4 linked regions of the Oryctolagus cuniculus genome follow. The protein of the gene in region 4 purifies or fractionates together with the protein of the main gene of each other region. This does not show direct contact. Links are inferred from orthologs where the notes say so. Each region holds a gene or a part of one and is shown on either strand. Other genes may lie near its edges.

Evidence for each region.
Region 1: the proteins of NIFK (region 4) and RPL18A fractionate together in Homo sapiens (co-fractionation; 3 studies listed by BioGRID and IntAct, with this or other methods). This does not show direct contact. The link is inferred for Oryctolagus cuniculus from reciprocal best matches to the Homo sapiens genes NIFK and RPL18A.
Region 2: the proteins of NIFK (region 4) and DDX24 purify together in Homo sapiens (affinity purification with mass spectrometry; 3 studies listed by BioGRID and IntAct, counting the BioPlex papers as one, with this or other methods). This does not show direct contact. The link is inferred for Oryctolagus cuniculus from reciprocal best matches to the Homo sapiens genes NIFK and DDX24.
Region 3: the proteins of NIFK (region 4) and FTSJ3 fractionate together in Homo sapiens (co-fractionation; 3 studies listed by BioGRID, with this or other methods). This does not show direct contact. The link is inferred for Oryctolagus cuniculus from reciprocal best matches to the Homo sapiens genes NIFK and FTSJ3.

What each region holds. Positions count from the first base shown.
Region 1 is NC_091447.1:65,464,378-65,469,913, reverse strand, and holds RPL18A (large ribosomal subunit protein eL20), read right to left. Parts: upstream 3,490-5,536; 5' UTR 3,288-3,489; coding exon 3,270-3,287; intron 2,902-3,269; coding exon 2,722-2,901; intron 2,566-2,721; coding exon 2,436-2,565; intron 2,382-2,435; exon of another isoform or gene 2,251-2,381; intron 2,180-2,250; coding exon 1,977-2,179; 3' UTR 1,947-1,976; downstream 1-1,946.
Region 2 is NC_091451.1:38,920,487-38,926,265, reverse strand, and holds part of DDX24 (ATP-dependent RNA helicase DDX24), read left to right. Parts: coding exon 1-299; intron 300-2,294; coding exon 2,295-2,370; intron 2,371-3,999; coding exon 4,000-4,188; intron 4,189-5,679; coding exon 5,680-5,779. UniProt on the Homo sapiens protein: ATP-dependent RNA helicase that plays a role in various aspects of RNA metabolism including pre-mRNA splicing and is thereby involved in different biological processes such as cell cycle regulation or innate immunity.
Region 3 is NC_091448.1:14,893,510-14,898,535, reverse strand, and holds part of FTSJ3 (pre-rRNA 2'-O-ribose RNA methyltransferase FTSJ3), read right to left. Parts: intron 4,769-5,026; coding exon 4,653-4,768; intron 4,550-4,652; coding exon 4,445-4,549; intron 4,360-4,444; coding exon 4,259-4,359; intron 4,077-4,258; coding exon 3,996-4,076; intron 3,909-3,995; coding exon 3,759-3,908; intron 3,425-3,758; coding exon 3,289-3,424; intron 1,097-3,288; coding exon 912-1,096; intron 815-911; coding exon 697-814; intron 624-696; coding exon 358-623; intron 156-357; coding exon 70-155; intron 1-69.
Region 4 is NC_091434.1:128,335,039-128,341,276, reverse strand, and holds the start of NIFK (MKI67 FHA domain-interacting nucleolar phosphoprotein), read right to left. Parts: upstream 4,390-6,238; 5' UTR 4,274-4,389; coding exon 4,169-4,273; intron 3,562-4,168; coding exon 3,424-3,561; intron 1-3,423.

The sequences.
Region 1 (5,536 bases), on a different chromosome or scaffold from region 4:
GGCAGGCCGAGGGAGTGGCGGCGGGGCGGGGGCGCGTCCCCACCCCCTCCCTGGGGCCCGGCCGCGCGCGACGGGACAGGTGGGCCGCGACTCCCAAGCGCTCCCTCTCCCGCCCGACGGCGCGGCCGCTCCAGGGGTGGTTTCGGGTGAGCGGGCGATGCAGGGGCGTCGAACCCCCCCTTTCTCTACGGTCTTCGGCCCTGGGCTAAGCTGGGTGGGGGAGCCTGGGCTCGGGGTCGCGTGGGTGCCTGCGGTCGTCTTGGGGTCCCCCTAGGCCTTCTCCTGCCCACCTGCACATGGGCATCAGAAGGCGCCTGCCTCAGAGCCAAGCCAGGGGGCACCGGTGGGGGCGGGGCAGGCGCTCATCCAGTGTCAGCGGCCACCGGGTCCCCCGCGACCACCCGGGGAGGGGCTTCCCGCGCCCCTGGCAGCCCCACCGAGGTCTGGGCAGGCGACATCCCCTGCGCTCGGGTGGAGCTTAAGGACGGACGGCGCCCCAACTTCAAGGGGGGACCGCGCGTCCACAGGCCCGGCTCCGCCCACCCTAGGAATTCTCGGGGTGCAAGCCGAGACCCGAGACCTCTGGGCCGCCTCGGGCGCCGTCGCCGCTCTCTTGGGAGGCCCGCACCGCCGAGCCGAGTGGCCGCGTCCCCCCCCCCCCCCCCCCCGCCGTGGGAAAACCCAGGCTTCGACGGAGGCTCACTTATAGAGCGCCTACTGCATGCCCTTGTGGACACAGCAGGCTGCAGGGGGCCTGGCTCGACCGCAAGCAGGGGGGCTGGGGCCACCGCGGGCGCCCGGGGTGCGGCGGAGCGAGCGCTGAGTAGTGGGGGGCGGCGCGGGGGCGCAGGAGAGGCCGGGGCAGGGAGGCCCCCGCAGAGTTTTCTGAGAATTGGCGGCGCCCCAAGCCGGGGAGGCTGCAGGTGGGGACAAGTGCACCAGTGGGGACTTGGAACCTGTCCCGGATTCCAGGAGCCCCGCTGGGTGGGCGGCGCTGGGCCGTGAACTCCGGGCGGACAGCGGGTGGCCCCCCTCCCCCGCACCTGCTGGGGCGCACGTGGCTCGGGCGGTGCCCACACCGGGACCTGGCCCGCGGCCGACCCTGCGCGCCTCACTCAGCGGCCGCAGCCAGAGCGGCCACCCTGCCGTCAGGACCTGGGGTCATCTGGGGTCCCTGTGCCCGGTCCTGGTGCTGCCCCTGCGGAGCAGCCATCCCGCTGAGCGCGATCTTGGGGGTCAAGCAAGCCCAGCGCAGGCCCCCCCCCACCCTTCAAGGGGCCAGAGGACACCCCCAGCCGGAGGCAGCGGCGCGTGGGACCCCGGCCCCAGCCCTGTGCCAACTCTGGGGTGGAAACTCTGGTTTGCGTCCTGTGCCCCGCAGCTCCCGGGAAAACCCCCGCCCCGCCCCCCGAGCGCAGGGACCGCACCCGGACGCCCTAGCTCCGCTTGGCACGGAGCCACCCCTGAGGCCCAGAGGGTGAGCGGTCACCGACTTCCTGTTGTGTTCACGGCCCACGGGGGCTGCAGGAGCGCAGGCCATCGGGCCCACCGCCGGGGCAGAGCGAGACCCCGACTCCACGGGACGTGAGGGGGGAGGACCCCCAGCTACCCTCGGACTGGGTCGCCCCGCGCTCAGGGCGGGTGCGCAGGCGCTGCCCGGAGTCTGGTGCCCCCAGCGCCTCTCGGGCTTCGGTGCCCACCTCCTCCCCAGGACACTGCGGGGGCCCCAAGTTGCGTCCCAAGAGCCAGGCTGAGGCCTGGGCGAGTGGATGACGGCGCAGGTCCCATGGAGACCCGGATGGAGCTCCTGGCTCATCAGCCCCCCGCGGTCCGAGCCCCTCAGGCCCCAGGGGGCGGCACCCGCGATGTCCCCGACCCGCCCGGCTCGGCGCCTGGACTCCCCCCAGCCCCGCACGGCGCAGGCGCACACGGAGGCGGAGGCGGGCCAGGTTGCGGGCGTTTATTGGGGCGCGGGCCTAGAAGAAGGTGTTGGGCCTCTTGGCGGAGAAGCGCGGCTTGTGCTGGCGCCGCAGCACGCGGTGCGGGAGCGGGAAGCGGATGCGCGAGTCGTGGAACTGCTTCACGGCCGGCCGCCGGCAGCGCGCCGCCGCCATCTCCTCCACCTTCATCACCTGGATCGAGTGCGCGCGCGCGCGGTGCCGGGCGCCCATGTCGCGGTCTGCGGGGCGGGTGGGGCGGTGAGGGCGGGGCGGCCGGCACCGCAGGGACCACCCCCGCCCGCCCCGCCGCGCGTGTGCGGCCTCCGCATTCACTCCCGGGGGCACCCGCAGCCCCCCGGAGGCGACGAGGCCCCGCTGCTGTGCGCACCCCGCTTGGAGCCGCGGCCACGGCGCGCGGCGGCTCTGGGGTTCGGGTGCGCGCCCCCCTCCCCGCGCGCGCCCCCCTCCCCGCGCGCGCCCCCCGTCCCCGCTTACAGCACTGCGTGACGGCGCCGGCCGTGGTGAGGTCGCGGTACTCGCGGTACATGTTGTGCGTGCCGCTGCGGGAGTCGTAGCGCAGCCAGATGCCGAAGTTCTTCACGCGCAGCGGCGACTTCTCGAACACCTGCGGCCGGCCGGGCGGGTGAGGGTCCGGGCCGCCCCCCGCCGCCCCGCCCCGGACCCCCCGCTCCGCCCCGGCCGCCCCCGGAGCCCCCCGCGCCGCCCCGGCCCGTCCCCACCCCCGCCGCCCCCCGGCCACGCCGCCCGGCCCCCGGCGCACCTGCCCGCAGTACACGATCTCGCCCGACGACTTCTTCATCTTCTTCAGCTGCGACACGAAGTACCAGAAGCGCGACTTGGCCACCACATGGTTGGGCGCGAAGATGCGCATGCGGTAGAGCGGCGGCGCGGGGCTCTTGGGCGTGGGCAGGCAGCGGCCCACCACCTTGTACTCCCGCAGCTGCGGGGACGCGCGCGTCAGCCGGGGCCGGCGACCCCCGCGTCAATCCCCGGCCCGCCCCCAGCCCCGGGCAGGAGGTCGCCACATCGCGCGGCGCGGCGCCCCGCCCGGGCCCGCTCCCCACGCGGCACCCGCGACCACCCCAGCCCCCAGTCCCGGGCAGGAGGTCGCAACCCCGCGCGGCGCCCCGCCCGGCCCGCACCCGCTCCCCACGCGGCGCCCGCCGCCATGTTGGCCGCTCCCGAGCGCGGCCATCGGGGTCCCGGGCGGCGGCGCGCTCCAGCTGCGGGGCCCCGTCCGCTCCCCGCGCCCCCCACCAGGGCCCGCGCCGCGCCCCCCGCCCCGACGCCGCGCCGCGGCCGCCTTACTGTGCCCGAAGCCTTCATGGCGCTCCGTCCGCGATGGCCGCCACCCTCGAAAAGGAAGTCCTTTCCTTCGCGCAGCCGCTCTCCACGGGTTCGCCGGCGGAAGTCCCGCCGCCTCGCCGCGACGCGCCCATTGGTTCCTTGTCCTGGCGCTCACGGAGCCTTGTTTTGTCATTGGCTCCAGTTCCGCCTGCCACCCACTACCCCGCCTCTCTTCGCAGCCGGACTACACTTCCCAGGAGGTAGCGCGGCAATGCGCACGTATTCCGGCGCGGACGTAACGGAGCTTCCGATTTCCGAGCACGCCGGGAGTTGTAGGCAGCGGACGGCTTTGGTAGGGAGTGAATGAGCAGCTGGAGCAGTCTCTGTCTTCCACATAAATGTTTTTCCAGGGGTTAAGTTTTTATTAACCAAGCAAGCCACGCTTATTCTGAGTGGAAGCAGCTGCCCCGGTTTCCTTGCCCCTGCCTCGGCGGGCAGGGGTATCCACGGGGTGGGGAGGGTTGTCCCAGGGAGAGGCTGTCTGCTCGCGGGAGCTGGGGGCCTGCTCAGATCTGCCGGGGCGAATCTGGGGGCGGTCGCCGTCCCCCGGCCGTGAGGTGCATCAGGGCGGTGGCGGCGGCCCGGCTTAGGGGGGGGGCGCCACCTCTCCCAGGAGGCCCCCACCTCCGGGCTGTGCCCCCGGGACCTCAGCGGACGGCCACATGCACCCTTTCCCCGCGCACGGGGGTCCTCACCCTGACCGCAGGCCATGGCGTTGGGGGGGGGGTCCTAACCGTGACCACAGGGCATGGCCGCAGGGGAGCCGCCCCCCGCCCCCACGGGGCGCCCGGCTTCTCCTCGCCCAGGGCCCCCGTGGAGCGGAGGTGGGGGCGGAGAGACGCCGCCCCCGCAGACCAGGACCTCCCGCCCACCCGTGCACAGCCCGGGAGCAGCCGTGTCGGCCTGCCTCCAGCCCTCCCCCAGGCCTGGAGTCCCGGATCCGCCCGCGTCGCCCCACGCACCGGCTGCTCGGCCTCTCGCCTTCCAAATAAATTTTAAAAAATCCTCAAACGCCGAGCAGCTTGAGAATTGATTTCCACGTCATAGAAGGCCCGCCTTTAAATAATGCAATCCACGGTTTCTAAAAAATTTATTTATTTACTTACTTAAAGGCAGAGTTAGAGAGAGAGAGATTCCACCTGCTGGTCACGCCCCAAGAGCTCACAGCAGCCAGGCCTGGGCCAGGCCAAAGCCAGGAGCCAGGAGCTCCATCCGGGTCTCCCCCGTGGCAGCTGACCCCCCAGTGCTGGCTCCAGGCTTCCCGGAGCCCCGCAATCCTGTTGTGCGGGAATTGGCGGGCGGGTGTCGGCGGAGAGCCACGCCCCCGGAGCGTTACCGCGAGCGGCCGCCAGGTGGCAGCAGAGCCCGTTTCCCCCGGGCAGGGCCGGCACGGGGGCCTGGGTTGCACATCCCTAGAGGGTGCGAGAGGGGCCTGGGGGAGGGGCGGAGGGAGGGGGCGGCGAGACGGGGAAGGGCCGCGCGAGGGGCAATTGCTGGTTCACTCCCCAGGTGCTCACAACAGCCAGGGCCGGGGTCCCTGCCCCCCTGGGGAGGTGACCCGGATGGGGTTCCCAGGCCCTGGGCTGCAGGGTGTGCACCTGCCGCTGTCCGGCCGCCTCCAGGGGAGCCGCCGCCCGCGTGCCCCTGCCGGAATGGGAGCCAGCTGGTCCAGCCTCCCTCCCTGAGCGCCTGTCCGGTTACTCCCGGGACGGCCGCCCCTGCCCCGCTACCGCGGCCCTCAGTGCCCAGCGAGCTCCCAGCCGCCCTCCCCCTCCCCGGCTCCCAACTCCCCCCCCACCCCCCAGCGACTCAGTGACTCCTCCCGGCTCCGGTCTTTCCACGCTGGCGCCTTGCCCCCCGGGGATCCGTGCTCCGCCGGCACCTCTCCCGCGGGAGCGGGGTCCTGGGCCGTCTGCGCCCACAGCCGGGCCCGGCGCCCACGCCCCGCTCCGCTCTCAGCCGAAACCTGGGCGCCGGCCGCCGTGACCAGCACCGCGGCGGTGGACAGCGCCCACTCGGCCACCTGCCCGGGCTCGAGCTGCGCGCCCTGGTCCGCACCTACGGGAACCGACGTGCACTTCAGGGCGTCTGGTGGGCCCGAGAGCGGAGGGATAGCCTGGGACAGCTCTGAGATGGGAGGGGTAGCCTGGGACAGCTCAATGCGCCCTTGCTCCTGGCCGCCTCTCGCCCACGCTCAGCCCCACGCCAGGAGCTTTCTCCCCGCGGCC
Region 2 (5,779 bases), on a different chromosome or scaffold from region 4:
GTGCAGAAGGTCGGCATGAGGGGTAAGCCGAAGGTCATCGACCTCACAAGGAACGAGGCCACGGTGGAGACCCTGACGGAGACCAAGATCCACTGCGAGACCGAGGAGAAAGACTTGTACCTCTACTACTTCCTGATGCAGTACCCGGGCCGCAGCTTGGTGTTTGCCAACAGCATCTCCTGCATCAAACGGCTCTCCGGGCTCCTCAAGGTCCTGGACATCATGCCTCTGACGCTGCACGCCTGCATGCACCAGAAGCAGCGGCTCCGAAACCTGGAGCAGTTCGCCCGAATGGAAGAGTGAGTGAAGCCGCCCTCGGCCTGGCCTGCAGCGCCGTGCGGGAGTGGCGGGAGGTCACCGCTGCTGCTGGGCCTTGTGAGAGCAGGCGGTCACCGCTGCTGTAGGGCCTTGTGAGAGCAGGCGGTCACCTCTGCTGCTGTAGGGCCTTGTGAGAGCAGGCGGTCACCTCTGCTGTAGGGCCTTGTGAGAGCAGGCGGCCCCCTTCTGCATGGCGTTCGGCAGGGTCACCGCGTTTAGCAGATTTGGATGCTGCTGATGTCCTCTGACGCTTTCGTAGCACTGAGTAACGGGGACAGTACCTAGTGTTGTTGACACTTCGTCCATTATGACCTAGGCCGGCACTTCAGAAACACCACGTCCCTCCACTCCCCCATCATCCAGGATAGATTTGTAGATAAGGGCACAAACTCTCGAACTGGGCTTCATGAGATCGAATCCTGACCCCACTGCTTCCTTGCTGGTCAAGTTGTTTGACTTCTGTGTGCTTGAGTTTGCTCATAGTGGGATAATAATATATAGACGTCATAGTGTTAGGGTTAACGGATGCGTGGATGTGAAGAGTTGGCGGCAGCTCTGTAAGGCACACAGTGTGTGCTTGTGAGATGTTAGCTCTAGTAACTCCCGCCCTCCTACTGCCACTATCACTATTCCCAAAAGCTCACCAGCTTGGCCAGGGTTTCTCTACCTCGAAGTGGCAGGTCTGAGCCTCTGGGAGGGCTGTCCAGCGCAGGGCCTGTGTTGTCTGTGTCCGTCCAGACCAGGTGATGCTCAGCAGGTAGGCTGCAGATGGCCAGGATGAAGGCCTGGGGGCTGAGGCATTTCCCCCACCTGAGTGCTTGTCAGGGCAGAGGGTGTTTTGTTTCTAGAACTAGTGTCACGTTTACCTGGCTTTGATTATTACGTGTGGTGGTTATGGGGATTGGCTTAGCGCAGGGCTTGACACACTAAAGCCCATGGCCAAGTCTTGCTTTCTCCCTGCTTTTATAATAAAGTTTTATTGGAATATGGCAAGACCCATAAATGTATCATCTAACCACTGTTCCACTGAAATGGCAGAGTTGAGTGGTTTCCACAGCAACTGTATTGCCCACAAAGCTGGAACTATTAACTATCTGACCCTTTACAGAAAAATTTGCTGACCTTGACTTAGAATAATAGTTAAATGTCTTATAGAGTTTGACTTGCACCACATTCCCCATCCCTATGTCAGAAATAAGGGCGAGGAGGACCCTGAAGGACCAAGAATCGGGAAGTCTTAAGGCGTGCTGTAAGTGCTTCTGAGTCTGCTTGGACTGAGTGTTAAGGAGCGTCACGTACCTTTATCTGGTGCTTATCATGAGCTAGAGAGTGGTCTAGGTGTTGCTAACCTAAAGTGAGTAATGCAAAGTGCTTGTTCTCACAGAACTTAGTTTCTAGAGGAAGAAGAAATGTATCACAAAGTCTATAATATAGCAAGTGGCGTTGAGCGCTACCAAGTAAGCTGGGGCTTGTGATGGGGCGAGTGTGGCTGGCGAGGTGTCTGACGGGGAGATTTGAGCAGAGAGCTGAAGAAAGCAGGGAGAGGTGTCACGTGGAAATATGAGAGAAGAGCTTCAAGACCCAAGGATGAGCAAGTACAAAGGCTGGGGGGAGGGGTGGAGAGGAAGCCCAGGAGGTCCTCTGCCGCTGACCAGGGCTGACCAGGGCAGGAAGGGGAGGGTGCCCGGGTGGAGGTCACCTGCCCAGATCGTGTTTGGCCTCATTCAGTTCACCACAGGGGGTCCCTGTCATTGCAAAGTTGGTTGGATCCTTGATTACACAACCCAGCAGCCATGTAAGTACCTTGGGAAGTTGCTCTCGGAGGCTCAGTCTCTATCAATGAAGGGCAGATGATAGTGTTGTTGGTAAGACAGAGAGTGCTGGTGAGGATCGTGGCGTTTATAGTGCTCGCAGAGGTAAGAGTTCGGTTGTGATAGCTGTTAGAGTTATTAACGAGCTTTCTCTCTTCACCACAGCTGTGTTCTCTTGGCAACAGACGTGGCAGCTCGGGGTCTGGACATTCCTAAAGTGCAGCATGTCATCCACTACCAGGTAGGGGCGTCTGGGAATTCGTCAGCATCTTCCTGCTTCGGGATTCTAAAGCGAGGAGGAGGAAGAATTGTTGGGCCCAAGGCCCCTGCAGTTATCGTAGTACCTGCTTAGGATTCTTACCAGGATAAAAGAAGGTAACACATGCAGAGTTTAGGGACCACTGGCATGTAGTGAGCACTGGCTAAGTGTGCTGTGGATAGCAGTGAGAGGAGCCGTCTGCCTGACAAATACCAGCACAGCGTTGCGGCTGGCAGTGTCGGGTCCAGGCCTGGCCGCCCGGGTCGGACTCCCCGGTCTGCGGCTTCACAGCGGCATGCTCTTTGATTGGCACACGCGCGCGCACGCACACACACCGTTTTTAGTTGTCAGTTTTCGTTGTCACTTCAGTTGTCGTCATTGTTTCTAAACTGGAAGTGACACACTGCTTACCCAGCCAGGTTGTCATGAGAATTAAACTGAGCTGATGCTGAAGTGCCTGCCCCAGTGGAAGTACTCAGTAGGTCTTTGAGGGTGCCGATTTCAGTGTAGCAAATCTTTACTATTTTTTAGAGAAGGGGCTGGGTCAGCCTTTGTGGGAGAAATCAAGGTGAACCATATACAGGCCCAGCTCCTGAAAGTCCCAAGTCCCAGGGAGGTGGGGAGAGGACACAGCCGTTATGTAGGGGAGAAGCTGTTAGAAAGTTAAAGGATGCGGTGGGACAGAGAGAACTCCTGGTTTGGGAGGTTGGAACCTGCTTTCTAGAAGGTGCTTGGCATTTAAGGATGGAGAGGAGTTGGACACGAGGTGGGAAGGGAAGGAGGGAAGAGTCTAGGATGGGCAGTGTTCAGGGGCAGATGGCTTAGGGCGAGAAGAGGGTTGTACTGGGAGAGGAGTAGCTACAGAGGCCGGGGGGTAGGCTGGGGGCCGGGTCCCTGAGGCCGAGTGTCGGATTCAGGAGCTGCGCCTTTATCCTGTATGTGAGGCGTGGCAAACAGGTCTCAGTCCCGTGTGACCCTCGTACATTGGAGGGCAGCAGGGGTCGCTCAGGGCTCTGCACGGTCCCTGCAGCGGGACTGGTTTTTTTTGTTTGTTTCTTGGCACCACCACTTCATTGGGTAACCTGGGGGGAGTTGTTAACCTCTCTGTTTTAGTTTCCTAGTCTATAAAACGTGGGTAATCTTATGAAGAATCAATTTCGTGTTTCTGTTGTGAGGAATAGGTGCATCCGTACCTGCAGAGAGCTTAGAGCTGTGTGGCCCGAGGTGGTCACTCCGTAGATGCTGGTGTGATTAGCGCTGCCTGTCACTCAGAGTGAATGGAGAGCCGGTGGGATTGGTTTACTAGGGGGAGTGTCGTGCTCGAAGCCGAGACCCAGATAACACCGGCGGCTTTGGGCGGGGCAGGACAAGTGGGAAGGATAGAGACGGAGGAAGTGACTGCGGGGTCCACTGCGTGGGCACGGGGACCTGAATGGCTGAGCCGGGGACAGTCGGAGTGTAGGGCTAAAGGGGGAAGGCTGGACATGCAGAATCAGCGGCGGTTCCCACCTGCCTGGCCTGGGGGGCAGAGGGGCCGGTTGGGGATGCGACCCTGAGGCCAGGGCCAGTGTGCCGCGGGCAGGGCTGACCTCCCGGGTCCTCCGCTGGCAGGTCCCTCGCACCTCGGAGATCTATGTCCACCGCAGTGGGCGGACCGCTCGTGCCACCAGTGAGGGCCTCAGCCTGCTGCTGATAGGACCCGAAGATGTGATCAACTTTAAGAAGATTTACAAAACCCTCAAGAAAGACGAAGACATCCCGCTGTTCCCTGTGCAGACCAAGTACATGGATGCCGTCAAGGTAAGGAGAAGTGGACCCCAGGGCTGCGCGGAACCTGGTGCTCACGGGCCCATGTTGGGACACTGCAGTACAACAGCACCACCCCGGAACCAAGGGTGGCTCTGCCAGCAGCTCCGCGGGGCATTCATGGAAGGGACCGGACATGCTGAGCCCTGGAGGAGGGACCAGAGCGGAGGCGTTTCCTCCCCGGACTGTCTCCTCACTGCCTGACCCTGACGTGTCCACCCCACCCCCACTGGACTGTGCGGTGTGCACAGCTGCCTGGGCCTCTCGTCAGGGCCGTGGGCAGTGAGGTGTCTGTGTCTCACTGAGATCCGGGCTGATGGGTTGGCACATCCCTGAAGCAGGTGCCGGCAAATCCTGACTTGCAGCCATTCTCTGAGTGAATGCCGCCTCCGTGGACCACAGTATGTCCGGGCCCACAGCAGGGCAGGCCAGGCTCTCCCCAGCAGGTCCGTGTCTGGGCCCACAGCAGGGCAGTCCAGGCTTTCCCCAGCAGGTCCGTGTCCGGGCCCACAGCAGGGCAGGCCAGGCTCTCCCCAGCAGGTCCGTGTCCGGGCCCACAGCAGGGCAGGCCAGGCTTTCCCCAGCAGGTCCGTGTCCGGGCCCACAGCAGGGCAGGCCAGGCTCTCCCCAGCAGGTCCGTGTCTGGGCCCACAGCAGGGCAGGCCAGGCTCTCCCCAGCAGGTCCGTGTCCGGGCCCACAGCAGGGCAGGCCAGGCTCTCCCCAGCAGGTCCGTGTCCAGGCCCACAGCAGGGCAGGCTAGGCTCTCCCCAGCAGGTCCGTGTCCAGGAGCGGGCCAGACTGTACTGAGGTTCAGGTACAGAGGGAGCTGTGGGATGGAAGACCTGTGGGAATACCGTGAGGCTCTGAAGCTGCAGCTGAACTGGAGGGGCATAAAGGATCTGATTCCTGGAACTGGGGGAGGAGGAGCCTGGGACACTTGAGGCTGTTAACTCCTTTGGTTTGAAAGGAGTGTCGGCTGTGCCCGCGGGGCTGGTGGGGTGTCGGCTGTGCCCGCGGGGCTGGTCAGTGTCGGCCGTGCCCGCGGGGCTGGCGGAGTTGCAGATGGAAAGGTGGAGGTCAGAGAGTTTCTGTGAGGAGCTAACCTGGCTTCCCGTGGTTCTTTTTCCTGTGTCATAAGATCTTGTCTGTTTCTTTGGGGCATCCTGTTGCCGTGGTCTAAACTCCAAATCCCACCAGCGGGGGAGTTGAAGTGTTCAGTCTGTCTCTGAGGTGGCAGCCAGCTGCAGCCTCTGTGGACACTGTCGCTGGAGTCAGACCAGGTGGCCGTGTTGAAGGGAGCGCCGGCTCTTGGGAGTGTGCTTGTGCCCACACGTGTGTGGTGACCGCAGGAGCCAAGATCAATGCGTTTCGGTAGTTGCCGCGCGCGTCCCGGGGACTGTCGACCTCAGGAGCTTCAGCAGCAGCTCGGGGAGACTGCTTACAGAGGCCGACCGCTGTGAGGTGAGGACTCCGTCTCTCCCCAGGAGCGGATCCGTCTAGCTCGCCAGATTGAGAAAGCTGAGTATCGGAACTTCCAGGCTTGTCTGCACAACTCCTGGATCGAGCAGGCGGCAGCCGCCCTGG
Region 3 (5,026 bases), on a different chromosome or scaffold from region 4:
GGAAAGTCAGAGCTTGATTTCCAGCGCTGACACTTCACTGGCTTCCTCTCATCTGTACTGAGCTCTCACCTGGGTCCTCGATAGGCACCACCTCGAACCCAGCATCATCTGACTTCGGCCCCCGGCGTCGCTTCTTACCACGGGATGGTTCCCAACTGTGGTGGGGAGAGACTAAGTGAATTCTACTGTTGCCCACACTACATGCCCAGCTGACCTCAACCCTGCTTCTAAAGACCACTTAGGGAACCTACAGAAACCATGCCATCCAGGCTGTGCCCAGGCTGATTAAAGCAGAATCTTAGAGAACGGAGTGTCCAAACCACTGCTGCCTCTTCCCCATCCAGCTGCACCACTTACCTCCCTTCATCCTCACTGCTACTGCTGTCACTGTCTGAGCTGTCATCTCCCCCACCAGGGCCAGGGGCAGCGTCTGTCTCCAGAGGAGCCGTCCTCACTTCAGAGGCCTCTTCCCGGCACCGAGACTGTCTCTGACTCTTCAGACTGGAAGGTGCTGGTGGCGGCGCTGGCTGCTGCTGCGCCTTCCGACGGCTCTCGTTTAACAGCTGAGCCTGCCCGATCTCCAGGGCCTCATCTGCATCGTCCTCGATCCCACTGAAGCCGTCCTGCGGTAGGGGACACTTAGCCATCTCTCCCGGGAATCCCAACTTCCTATGAGTCTTGGCCTCAGCACCTCACCTTTGAGAACCACAGGTTAGCCTGTTCTTCCTGCAGTACTGTCTTTTCTTCCAGTGACACCAGCAGTGGATTCTCCCCTTCCTCTTCTTTATCATCTTCTACTTCAGCAAACTGCACACTGTAGACCCAAAGGGAGACTCAGGGATCCTGAGTGCTGGCAGGCCCCACCCTGCCTGCACCCGGACTCTGGGTGAGGGTGGCTCTCACACTCTTACCGCTTCTGTTCCTTCAGACCCGGAGGTCCCCTGACTCCTGCCAGCTCCTCTGGATCCAGGTCACTGTCCAGAGACGCATCCTCCTCCTCCTCCTCCTCTTCCGACACATAGATGTCATCCCGTGGCAGATCGGACAGAAATGTGTCTGCAGTGCTCATATCCCCTTGTGTTACTTCCTCTAACAACTGAAATTCAACGAAGAGGTCAAGTGTTTTAAAGGAACAGGGTGCTTCTTTCTCATGCTCATGTCTTAGTTGTAATCAACACCGTGGCAGATCCATTCCAAGGTACTAACCTGTCTCATTCAGTTGTCTTATCGTCAGTGGTAGCACAAGGAAGTGTTACTGGGAAAGTACCCCCATGGCCCACACCATGGCCCACATAGCAGCAAATCTTAAAATGTTCTAAAACATTGGTGTTCCTTTTTTTTTTTTTTTTTTTTTTTTGACAGGCAGAGTGGACAGTGAGAGAGAAAGAGACACAAAGGTCTTCCTTTACTGTTGGTTCACCCTCCAATGGCCGCTGCGGCCGGTGCACCACACTGATCCGATGGCAGGAGCCAGGTGCTTCTGGTCTCCCATGCGGGTGCAGGGCCCAAGCACTTGGGCCATCCTCCACTGCCTTCCCGGGCCATAGCAGAGAGCTGGCCTGGAAGAGGGGCAACCGGGACAGAATCCAGCGCCCCGACCGGGACTAGAACCCAGTGTGCCGGCGCCGCAAGGCAGAGGAATAGCCTATTGAGCCGCAGCGCCAGCCTGGTGTTCCTTTGTTTTTAAAGATTATTTAAAATAATCCTCCACCTGCAGCTGGCTCCTCTTCTGTTCCAGCTCCCTGCTATGGCCTGGGAGAGCAGTGGAAGATGGTCGAAGTGCTTGGGTGCCTGCACCCACGTGGGAGACTTGGAAGAAGCTCCTGGCTCCTGGCTTTGGATCGGCTCAGCTTCAGCCGTTGCAGCCATTTGTGGAGTGGCCCAGAGGATGCAAGACCTTTCCCTCTCCCTCTTCTCTGTCTGGAACACTACCTCTCAAAAAAATAAAATAATCTCTAAAAAAATTATTTATTTCACTTGAGAGGCAGAGAGAACTCTCATCCACTGGTTCACTCCCCAAATGCTTACAGTGAGCTGCACCAGGGTCAAAGCAGGGAATTCAACTCAGTTCTCCCATATGATGACAAGAACCCAATTACCTGAGTCATCACCACGCCTCCCAGGGTCTGTATTGGCAGGAGATTGGAGACAGAAACCAGAGCCAGAGTCAGGTCCAGGCACTCCGATGTGGGGCTGGATGCCTTAGTCTCCAGGTTAAATGTCTACTCCCCAGCTTTCCTTTAAAATTCCTCTCAGAAGGCACCTCTGTCACCTCCTGGGAAAAATCTCATATATGCGTCTTGATTCTCTACCAAATAAAGGTGGGTAGGTAACATAGATCTAACAGAAATGTTTCACGTAGATCAACTTAGAGGAGCCAGTGCTGTGATGTAGTGGGTAAAGTCACCACCTGCAATGCCGGCATCCCATATGGGCGCCAGTTTGAGTCCAGACTGCTGCACTTCTGATGCAGCTCTCTGCTATGGCCTGGGAAAGCAGTAGAACATGGCCCAGGTGCTTGGAAGACGGGGAAGAAGCTCCTGGCTTTGGATCGGCTCAGCTCCAGCTGCTGCAGCCAACTGGGGAGTGAACCAGCCAGCGGATGGAAGACCTCTCTCTGCCTCTCCTACTCTGTGTAATTCTTTCAAATAAATAAATCTTTTAAAAAAAATCAACTTAGAATAACCTCAAAATGTATTTTCCTCATGGCAAAGATAGCTTTCATTTGTATGGCCACTGTAGGTACTGACAAAGATAGGGGCTGTATGCCTGACTACTGCCTAATGGAGCTGGGACGAGAAGCGAGCCTGCAAGAACCTAGCCTGCGTCTCTCTAGGGCCTCTAGGGGAAAGGTGACTTGGTTAAGACATTCCCACATAAGAGCCAGAAAAGCTCTCTTTTTCATGACTCATTTTATGAGAAAAGATGTTCTCTAGGAGGAACAGAGTAGCATGCGGCAGCCCAATGCAAGGCTAACTTGGTCTTAGAAATCCTCTCTACTTGTGCTTATAACCCAGGTGCCCTGGTTCCCTGTATTATAACCACAACTGTTGGTCCTAATATTCCAGCTCCAGGAGAATCAATCCGCATCACACTCATAAACCCGGATTTCATCATTTTAGGTGTATGTTTGCTTTGGCCTTTGAGTTACTGTTTTGTACCCCAGTAAGCCCCTCACCAAGTGATTTAGTGGGTGAAGTAGGCACCTGAAGCCCAGCATCACTCAGCACAGAAGACATCGGTCCCTCCACCTTCAGTCTCCTCAGTCTGTCCCGAGCCCCTGCTCACCTGGTGGCCCCGGATGGTACGCAGTGAGAACATGCCAGTCTCCCCCTCATCTGCAATGGAGACCCCAGGCAGATCCATCTTCAGCTCCACGCGCTCCCGCTGCTTTCTCTGCTCACGCAGCAGCTTCTTTTTCTTTCTGAAGGGATAGGTTAAGGGGTTACACCTGCCCAGCGCTGAAAACTCCCTTTCCATGTCTGTCCTCCTCCCACCTTCACACTCTGCAATTCTGCAATGGGGCTCCCCCGGCCCCTCCCCACACCATTTCTTAGATTTTTCTTAGACCTCCCAATCCACTGGTTCAACTCCGCAGATGCCCATAACAGCCAAGACTCCACCCAGGTCTCCCACATGGGAGACCTTGACCATCACTGGGTATTCATTAGCAGGAAGCTGGAGCCAAGCCAGGCGTGAAACCCGTGCACTTCAGTGTGGGATGATATCCTAACCCACGGCTCTACCACTTTAATCACCTCTTTAATTCTGCCACCTCCTGGGCTTTCATCTCTGCCAGAGTCCGGTTTAATTGCTCCTCTTCCTCCTCCTCTTTAGAGGGCTGCCTTGTGATCCCAGCTGCTGACTCCTCCTCCTCCTCCTCACCTTCTTCCTCTCCTGAGCTGAGGCTGACAAAACAGTCCAAGGAATCACGTCATTTTCCTAGGCAGGGGCTTCGTCGAGTCGACATCTACTTGGTTCAGCTCCGTCCTCACCTGATGTCCAGTGCCTTTGCTTGCTCTTTCAGCTTCTTGGCTACGTGTCGCCGAAGCTTTGTTCTCCAGTTCAGGAGGGACCTGCCACAGAAATACCATGACTGATCTCAGCTCTCCCTTTGTACTTGCGCTCTCCTGCCAGAGGCCCCCACCTCACACCTCTAGCACAGCACAGCCTGTGTGCAGAGGTCCAACATCATGGCTTCCCTGGGCCTTTTCCTCCCTCCAGGGTTCCTGGCCCCTCTGGCCTCGCGACCGCATACCTGAGTTCCTTGCGCCCCAGCACCTTGATGTCCTGACAGCATGCCCGTACGTCCTCGGTGGTCGCCGGATGCTGTGCCAACTCTTCATCATCTAGCGAGATCTGTTTGAGGGAAGTAAAGGAGTTGGAAGATCTTCAGGCCGTGTTTCTGGGGTTCTCTTTCGTCCCTCAAAGTCTGGGAACTCACCTCACTGGCTTTGGAGAGGAAGTCGACAGGGTTGGCAGCCCGGAGGAAGTCAGTGACGGAGGCACGGTGATAGAGAGTGAGGTCGCCCTCTGCGTAGCCTTCAGCCTTAGGGAGGGCAACAGAATGGCTGGCAGTCCCTTGCAAGGCATCTCCAGGCCCGCCAGGCCCAGTCTCTCCAGGGCTCCAGGACCCTACCCCCCAAACGCACCTTCGGCTTCTTCTTAGTCACCAACTCAGTAACAGTTTTAGCCTGAACTTCAACCTCCTTGAAGGCAAATTTAGGATCGAAGAATTTACTGTCAACCTTGTCAGGAGCCAGGAATCCTACAGTGATGAGACACAAGTGTGTTTAGGGGCAGGCTTCGTGGTACACGAAGTTAAGCTGCCACTTGGGACACTTGCATCCCACATCAGGGTGCCAGTTTGAGTCCTGGCTATTTCACTTCCAATCCAGCTTCCCGCTAATGCATCCTGGGAGGCCGAAGTGGCATCAAGTGCCTGGGCCCCTGCCACCCCCAGGTAAAGTCCTGGGTTCCTAGCTTCGGCCTGGCCCCAGCCCTGGCTGTTGTGTGCATTTGGGAA
Region 4 (6,238 bases):
CGGAGAAATGTGACGAGTGAAGGTCTTACCCTCCCAACAAAGAAAAGCCCAGGTCCAGGCTTCACTGCTGAATTTTACCAGACATTTAAAGAACTCCAATTCTTCTCAAGTTATTAAAACAACTGAAAGGGAGGGAATCCTCCCAAATTCTTTCAATGAAGCCAGCATCACCTTAATTCACAGACCCGGAAAAGACACAATACAGAGAGAACTACAGACCAGTTTCCCTGATGAACATAGATGCAAAAATCCTCAACAAAATTCTAGCCATTCGAATCCAACAACACATCAGAAAGATCATACACCTAGACCAAGTGGGATTTATCCCTGATATGCAGGGATGGTTCAACATTTGCAAATCAATGTGACACATCACTTAACAAACTGCAGAACAAAAATCATGATTATCTCAATAGATGCAGAGAAAACATTTGATAAAATACAGCACTCTTTCATGATGAAACCCCAAGCAAACTTGGCATAGAAGTAACATTCCTTAACACAATCAAAGCAATTTATGACAAACCCATGGCCAGCGTCCTATTGAATGGGGAAAAGTTGGAAGCATTCCCACTGAGATCAGGAACCAATGATGCCCACTCTCACCATTGCTAGTCAAGATAGTCCTGGAAGTTTTAGCCAGAGCCAATAGGCAAGAAAAAGAAATCAAAGGGATTCAGATGCAGATGATGTGGTTCTACATATAGGGGATCCGAAAGACTCCACTAAGACTATTGGAACTCACAGAAGAGTTTGGTAAAGTAGCAGGATATAACATCAATACACAAAAATCAGCAGTTTTTGTATATACAGACAATGCCATGGATGAGAAAGAACTTCTAAGATCAACCTCATTCACAATAGCTACCAAAAAAATCAAATACCTTGGAATAAATGTAAGCAAGGATGTCAAAGATCTCTACAATGAGAATTACAATACGTTAAAGATACAAAAAAATGGCCGGCGCCGCGGCTCACTAGGCTAATCCTCTGCCTAGCGGCGCCGGCACACCGGGTTCTAGTCCCGGTCGGGGCGCCGGATTCTGTCCCGGTTGCCCCTCTTCCAGGCCAGCCCTCTGCTGTGGCCAGGGAGTGCAGTGGAGGATGGCCCAGGTGCTTGGGCCCTGCACCCCATGGGAGACCAGGAAAAAGCACCTGGCTCCTGGCTCCTGCCATCGGATCAGCGCGGTGCGCCGGCCGCAGCGCGCCGGCCGCGGCGGCCATTGGAGGGTGAACCAACGGCAAAAGGAAGACCTTTCTCTCTGTCTCTCTCTCTCACTGTCCACTCTGCCTGTCAAAAAAAAAAAAAAAAAAAAAAAAAAAAAAAGATACAAAAAAATGAAGAAATATTCCATGTTTATGTATTAGAAGAATCAATATCATCAAAATGTCCATTCTTCCAAAAGCAATTTACAGATTCAACGTGATACCAATCAAAATACCAAAGACATTTTTCTCAGACCTAGAAAAAATGATGCTGAAATTAATTTGGAAATACAGGAGACCTTTAATAGCTAAAGCAATCTTATACAACAAAAACAAAGGCAGAGGCATCACAATACCAGATTTCAAGACATACTACAAGGCAGTTACAATCAAAACAGCTTGGTACTGGTACAAAAACAAAGGGATAGACAAATGAACAGAACAGAAACACCAAAATCAATCCAAGCATCTACAACCAGCTTATATTTGACCAAGGAGCTAAAAGCAATCTCTGGAGCAAGGACAGTCTCTTCAACAAATGGTGATGGGAAAACTGGATTTCGACATGCAGAAGGATGAAGCAAAACCCCTACTTCACACCTTACACAAAAAACCATTCAATATGGATTAAAGATCTAAATCTACAACCTGATACCATCAAATTAAAGAACACTGGGGAAACCCTGCAAGACACTGGCACAGGCAAAGAGTTCATGGAAAAGACACCCTGAGGCACAGGCAATCAAAGCCAAAATTCACAAATGAAATTACATCAAATTGAGAAGCTTCTGTATTGCCAAAGAAACACTCAGGGAAGTGAAGAGGCAACCGAAAGAATGGGAGAAATTATTTGCAAACTATGCAACTGATAAAAAGGATTAATAACCACAATCTACAAAGAGATCAAAAAACTCCACCACAACAAACCAACCAACCCAGTTAAGAAATGGGCAAAAGACATTTTTCAAAAGAGGAAATCCAAATGGCCAACAGACACAAGAAAAAATGTTCAGGATCATTAGCTGTCAGGGAAATGCAAATCAAAACCACAATGAAGATTCACCTCACCCCAATTAGAATGCCTTTCACACAGAAATCAACAAACAACAAGTGCTGGTGAGTATATAGGAAAAAAGGTGTCCTAGTCCACTGTTGGTAGGAATGTAAACTAGTAAAACCACTATGGACAACAATTTGGAAACACCTCAGAAATCTGAATATAGATGTACCACATGACCCAGCCATCCCACTCCTGGGAATTTACCCAAGGGAAATGAAATGAGCAAATAAGAGTTATTTGTACCACCATGTTTACTGCAGCTCAATTCACAATAGCTAAGGCATGGAATCAACCCCAATGCCCATCAACTGAAGACTGGATAAAGAAATTATGGATATGTACTCTATGTAATACTACACAGTGGTCCGTATGAAAAAAAGAAAAAAAATCTGGTCATTTGTAAATTAGTGCAATAAGCCAGTCCCAAAGGGACAACTACCATATGTTCTCCCTGATCTGTGATACTTCATGGGACATTTTTTCCCCCTCTTCTTCATATTACTTGTTGAACTCTATGTTAATCATATGTGTATAAAGTCAACTAAAAATAGAAAAAGAAAAAAGAAAAACAAAAAAGGTCTTCAAGGAGCCTAAACTCTCCTTATGGTCAAGACAAGAAAGATCTGAAACAAGAATATCATCAAGCTGGCACTTGATACAGCTGAGAGGTAGACAGCTGGGTAGTCAGTAAAATTTCTTCTAGGAGACTCCAAAATGCCTAAGGAAGCAGCTTAATCTCTAACTGAACACTCATAGGAAGCTGATGCTACTTTACCCACATTTTGCAGATTACAAAACTGCAGCATGAGTATGCTAGCTCCAGAGTCCTTTGCCTTCACTATAAATCTTGGCTATTACTGATGTCTCTAACAGAGGCTAAAACAAGTGTGAATCTGGTTCTCAAACTGAAGTTCATTTACCCCTGGTAAATGAACATGATTCATTTGCCAGGACTGCCAATTTAACTTGTGAACTTGGGGCAAGTACTTCTGGTACACAAACATTTAAAATTCTAATTTTGCTCTAGAGGCTGTTTGTTTCAAAACCTCAGCCAGCCCCCTTTCCAGAGGGAAGTCTAAGGAGCAGAATGCGAGCACTTTGCATAAAACTGTCAAGGATGACGCGTTCGGAAGACACAACAGGGGATTCTGACTTACCCTTTTGCTTCTGGACAGTCGGAATCTTGTAACAGTGCCAAACTGGGAGAAATACTCTTGAATCTGGGTTTCATAGAGTGTTGGAGGTAGGTGGCCCACATAGATTACTCCAGGAGTAAGGGTTTCTTGCTTTTTTTTCTGAAGACATACAAACCCGATAAATCCTCTTTAATAAGACAATTGCATGGCAACAAAACTTGCAAAACCCCTAGCGCTGGGTCCAAGAGCATACTGTTTCCGCTTAATCGTAGGCTTCTCCCCACAAGGACAGCGGCCAAGCAGCCCACGTGGGCCAGCGTAGATAAGCAAGGACACGAGAACTTTGCACACCGGCACCCTTCAACTTGCAGGCAGATCGCCGGCTACCTGCGTCTAATCCGACAGTTCTTGAGACGCCCACCGACCCTCAGCGTCATCGCCCCCGTACCTTCCCTAAGCAACACTTTTAAGTTTCCCACATTGGATTTAATGCTGAAGACCCAAGAAAACACAAATTCAACGTCAGGGGACCTAGCTGGTGAGCAATGTCTCCCAAGAACCCCCAAATCCCTGGGGCCCCCCATCAGCACCAGCAAATCGGAAGCAATGGCGCTAACTGGGTCCCTAAGCGGCCCGGTAGCGCTGTTCCCTGGCTCGGTCTCCGCCTCCTCGCGCGTCGCCACGTGAAGACCTGGAACCCACGCCTACAGCACCGAACTTTCCGCCTCGGATCCCTCCTCTCCCAGAGGAGGCAGAGGTCGCTCACCTGGGTGACGCGCTTGCGGACTTGCTCCACCTCCTTTCGAAACTGTGCGTCTTTCTCCGGGTTGAGAGACAGAATGGGGGCCGCGGGTCTGGAGAAGTCCGCCATGCCGGAGGTGCGCAGGCTGACCCACGCGGCGCTCCCGGAAATGCCGAGCCTTCGGTGCGGAAGTAAGGCGGAAGGGGCGTGGTGAGAGCTGGGCAAAGGTCGCGGCGCGGGGGCGTGCCCGTGGGGGCGTGGCCTTGGGCGCAAAGGGGCCCCTGCGCCGTTGCTGCTTTCTTGACCATCTCAGCCTGTTTTCTCTTTCTTTTCTTTTCTTTTCTTTTCTTTTCTTTTCTTTTCTTTTCTTTTCTTTTCTTTTCTTTTCTTTTCTTTTCTTTTCTTTTCTTTTCTTTTCTTTCCTTTTCTTTTCTTTTCTCTTTTCTTTTCTTTCTTTCTTTCTTTTCTTTTCTTTTCTTTTCAAGATTTATTTATTTGAGTTACACACAGAGAGATGGAGAGGCAGAGAGAGAGGGAGAGAGAGGTCTTCCATCCGCTGGCTCACTCTCCAATTGGCCGCAACAAATGGAGCTGTGCTGATCTGAAGCCAGGAGCCAGGAACTTCTTCCAGGTCTCACTCACAGGTGCAGGGCCCCAAACTTTTGGGCCATCTTCTGCTTTCCCAGGCCGTAACAGAGCTAGATCAGAAGTGGAGCAGCTGGGACTTGAACCAGCGCCCATATGGGATGCCAGTACTGCAGTCGGGGCTTTACCCGGGCCTCTCCACAGCGCCGCCTCCCGCTCAGACTTTTTTCTATCAACCCGGGTATCTGAGGGGTCCGTGGGCGGAGGCCCTGCAGAATACGCCCCTGGGCCTTCCAGCCCAGCTGCACCCCCAGTCCCCCCCCCCCCTGCTCCGTGGCCCGCGCAGCTCCTCCTTTTCCGGGGGTAGGGCATGCATCCTGGTACCCTCTTCCTCTGGCCCCTAACCCCTTTCAGGCAGGGGAGAAGGAAATTCTCGAGTGACCTGAGAGAAGTATCTAGAACCTTAAAAATAAGGCCTATTGGGCAGGTTGGTTAGCTTGGTCTTGCGGACAAGACCCCCACGTCTCGCCTCAGAGTGCCTGGTTTCAGTACTGGCCTCTGTTCCAGACTACATCTTCCTGCTAAAGGAGACCCTGGGAGGCAGGGGGACTGGCTCATTTGAACCGATTCTATCCACCTGCGTGGGAGACCGGGATTGGTTTCCTGGCCCAAAGTTGCAGTTCAAGCCTGGGGTGGGATGGAGGAATTGCAGGCATCTGGGGGAATGAATCAGCATATGTGAGGGAACTCTCTGTCTCACAAGTAGACAAAAACAGGATCTATGAAGGAAAAGGATCTTGCTTGTATTCCATATTGGAGTGTTGAGTCCTCCATACTGTGTTTCCTAACCAGCTCCCTGCTAATGCACCTAAGGAAGGCAGATGATGGCCCAAGGGTTTGGATCCCTGCCACCCACATGGGAGACACAGATGGAGTTTGGGGGTCCTGGCTTTGACCTGGAACAGTCTTGTCTGTTGTGGGCATTTTGGGGGAATGGATCAGCAGGTGGAGGAGCTCTTACCTTTCACATCAATCAATAAATTAATCTTAAGTCCAAAAGGAAAGGATCATAAACCCTGATAAGAGCGTTCATCACAAAAACCAACCAAAAAAGCCAATAATAAGGGACTGGGTTAATAAACCTTGCATGCCTGTTTGATGAGTAAAATCACATCAATGTTTCCATTTAAAAATTTACTTTAAAAATATAAAATAAGGCAAAAATACCTTTTTTATGGGGCAAGGACTATTTATTTTAGGTATAAAACCTTTTTAAAAATATTTATTCAAGAGGTAGAGTTACAGAGAGAAGGAGAGACAGAGAGAAACGTCTTCCATCCGCTGGTTCACTCCCCAAATGGCCATAATGGTTGGAACTGGGCTGATCTAAAGCCAGGAGCCAGGGGCTTCTTCCAGGCTCCCACTCAGGTTGCAAGGCCCAAGCACTTGGGCCATCTTCTACTGCTTTCCCAGGCCAAAGCAGAGAACCGGATTGGAAGTGGAGCAACC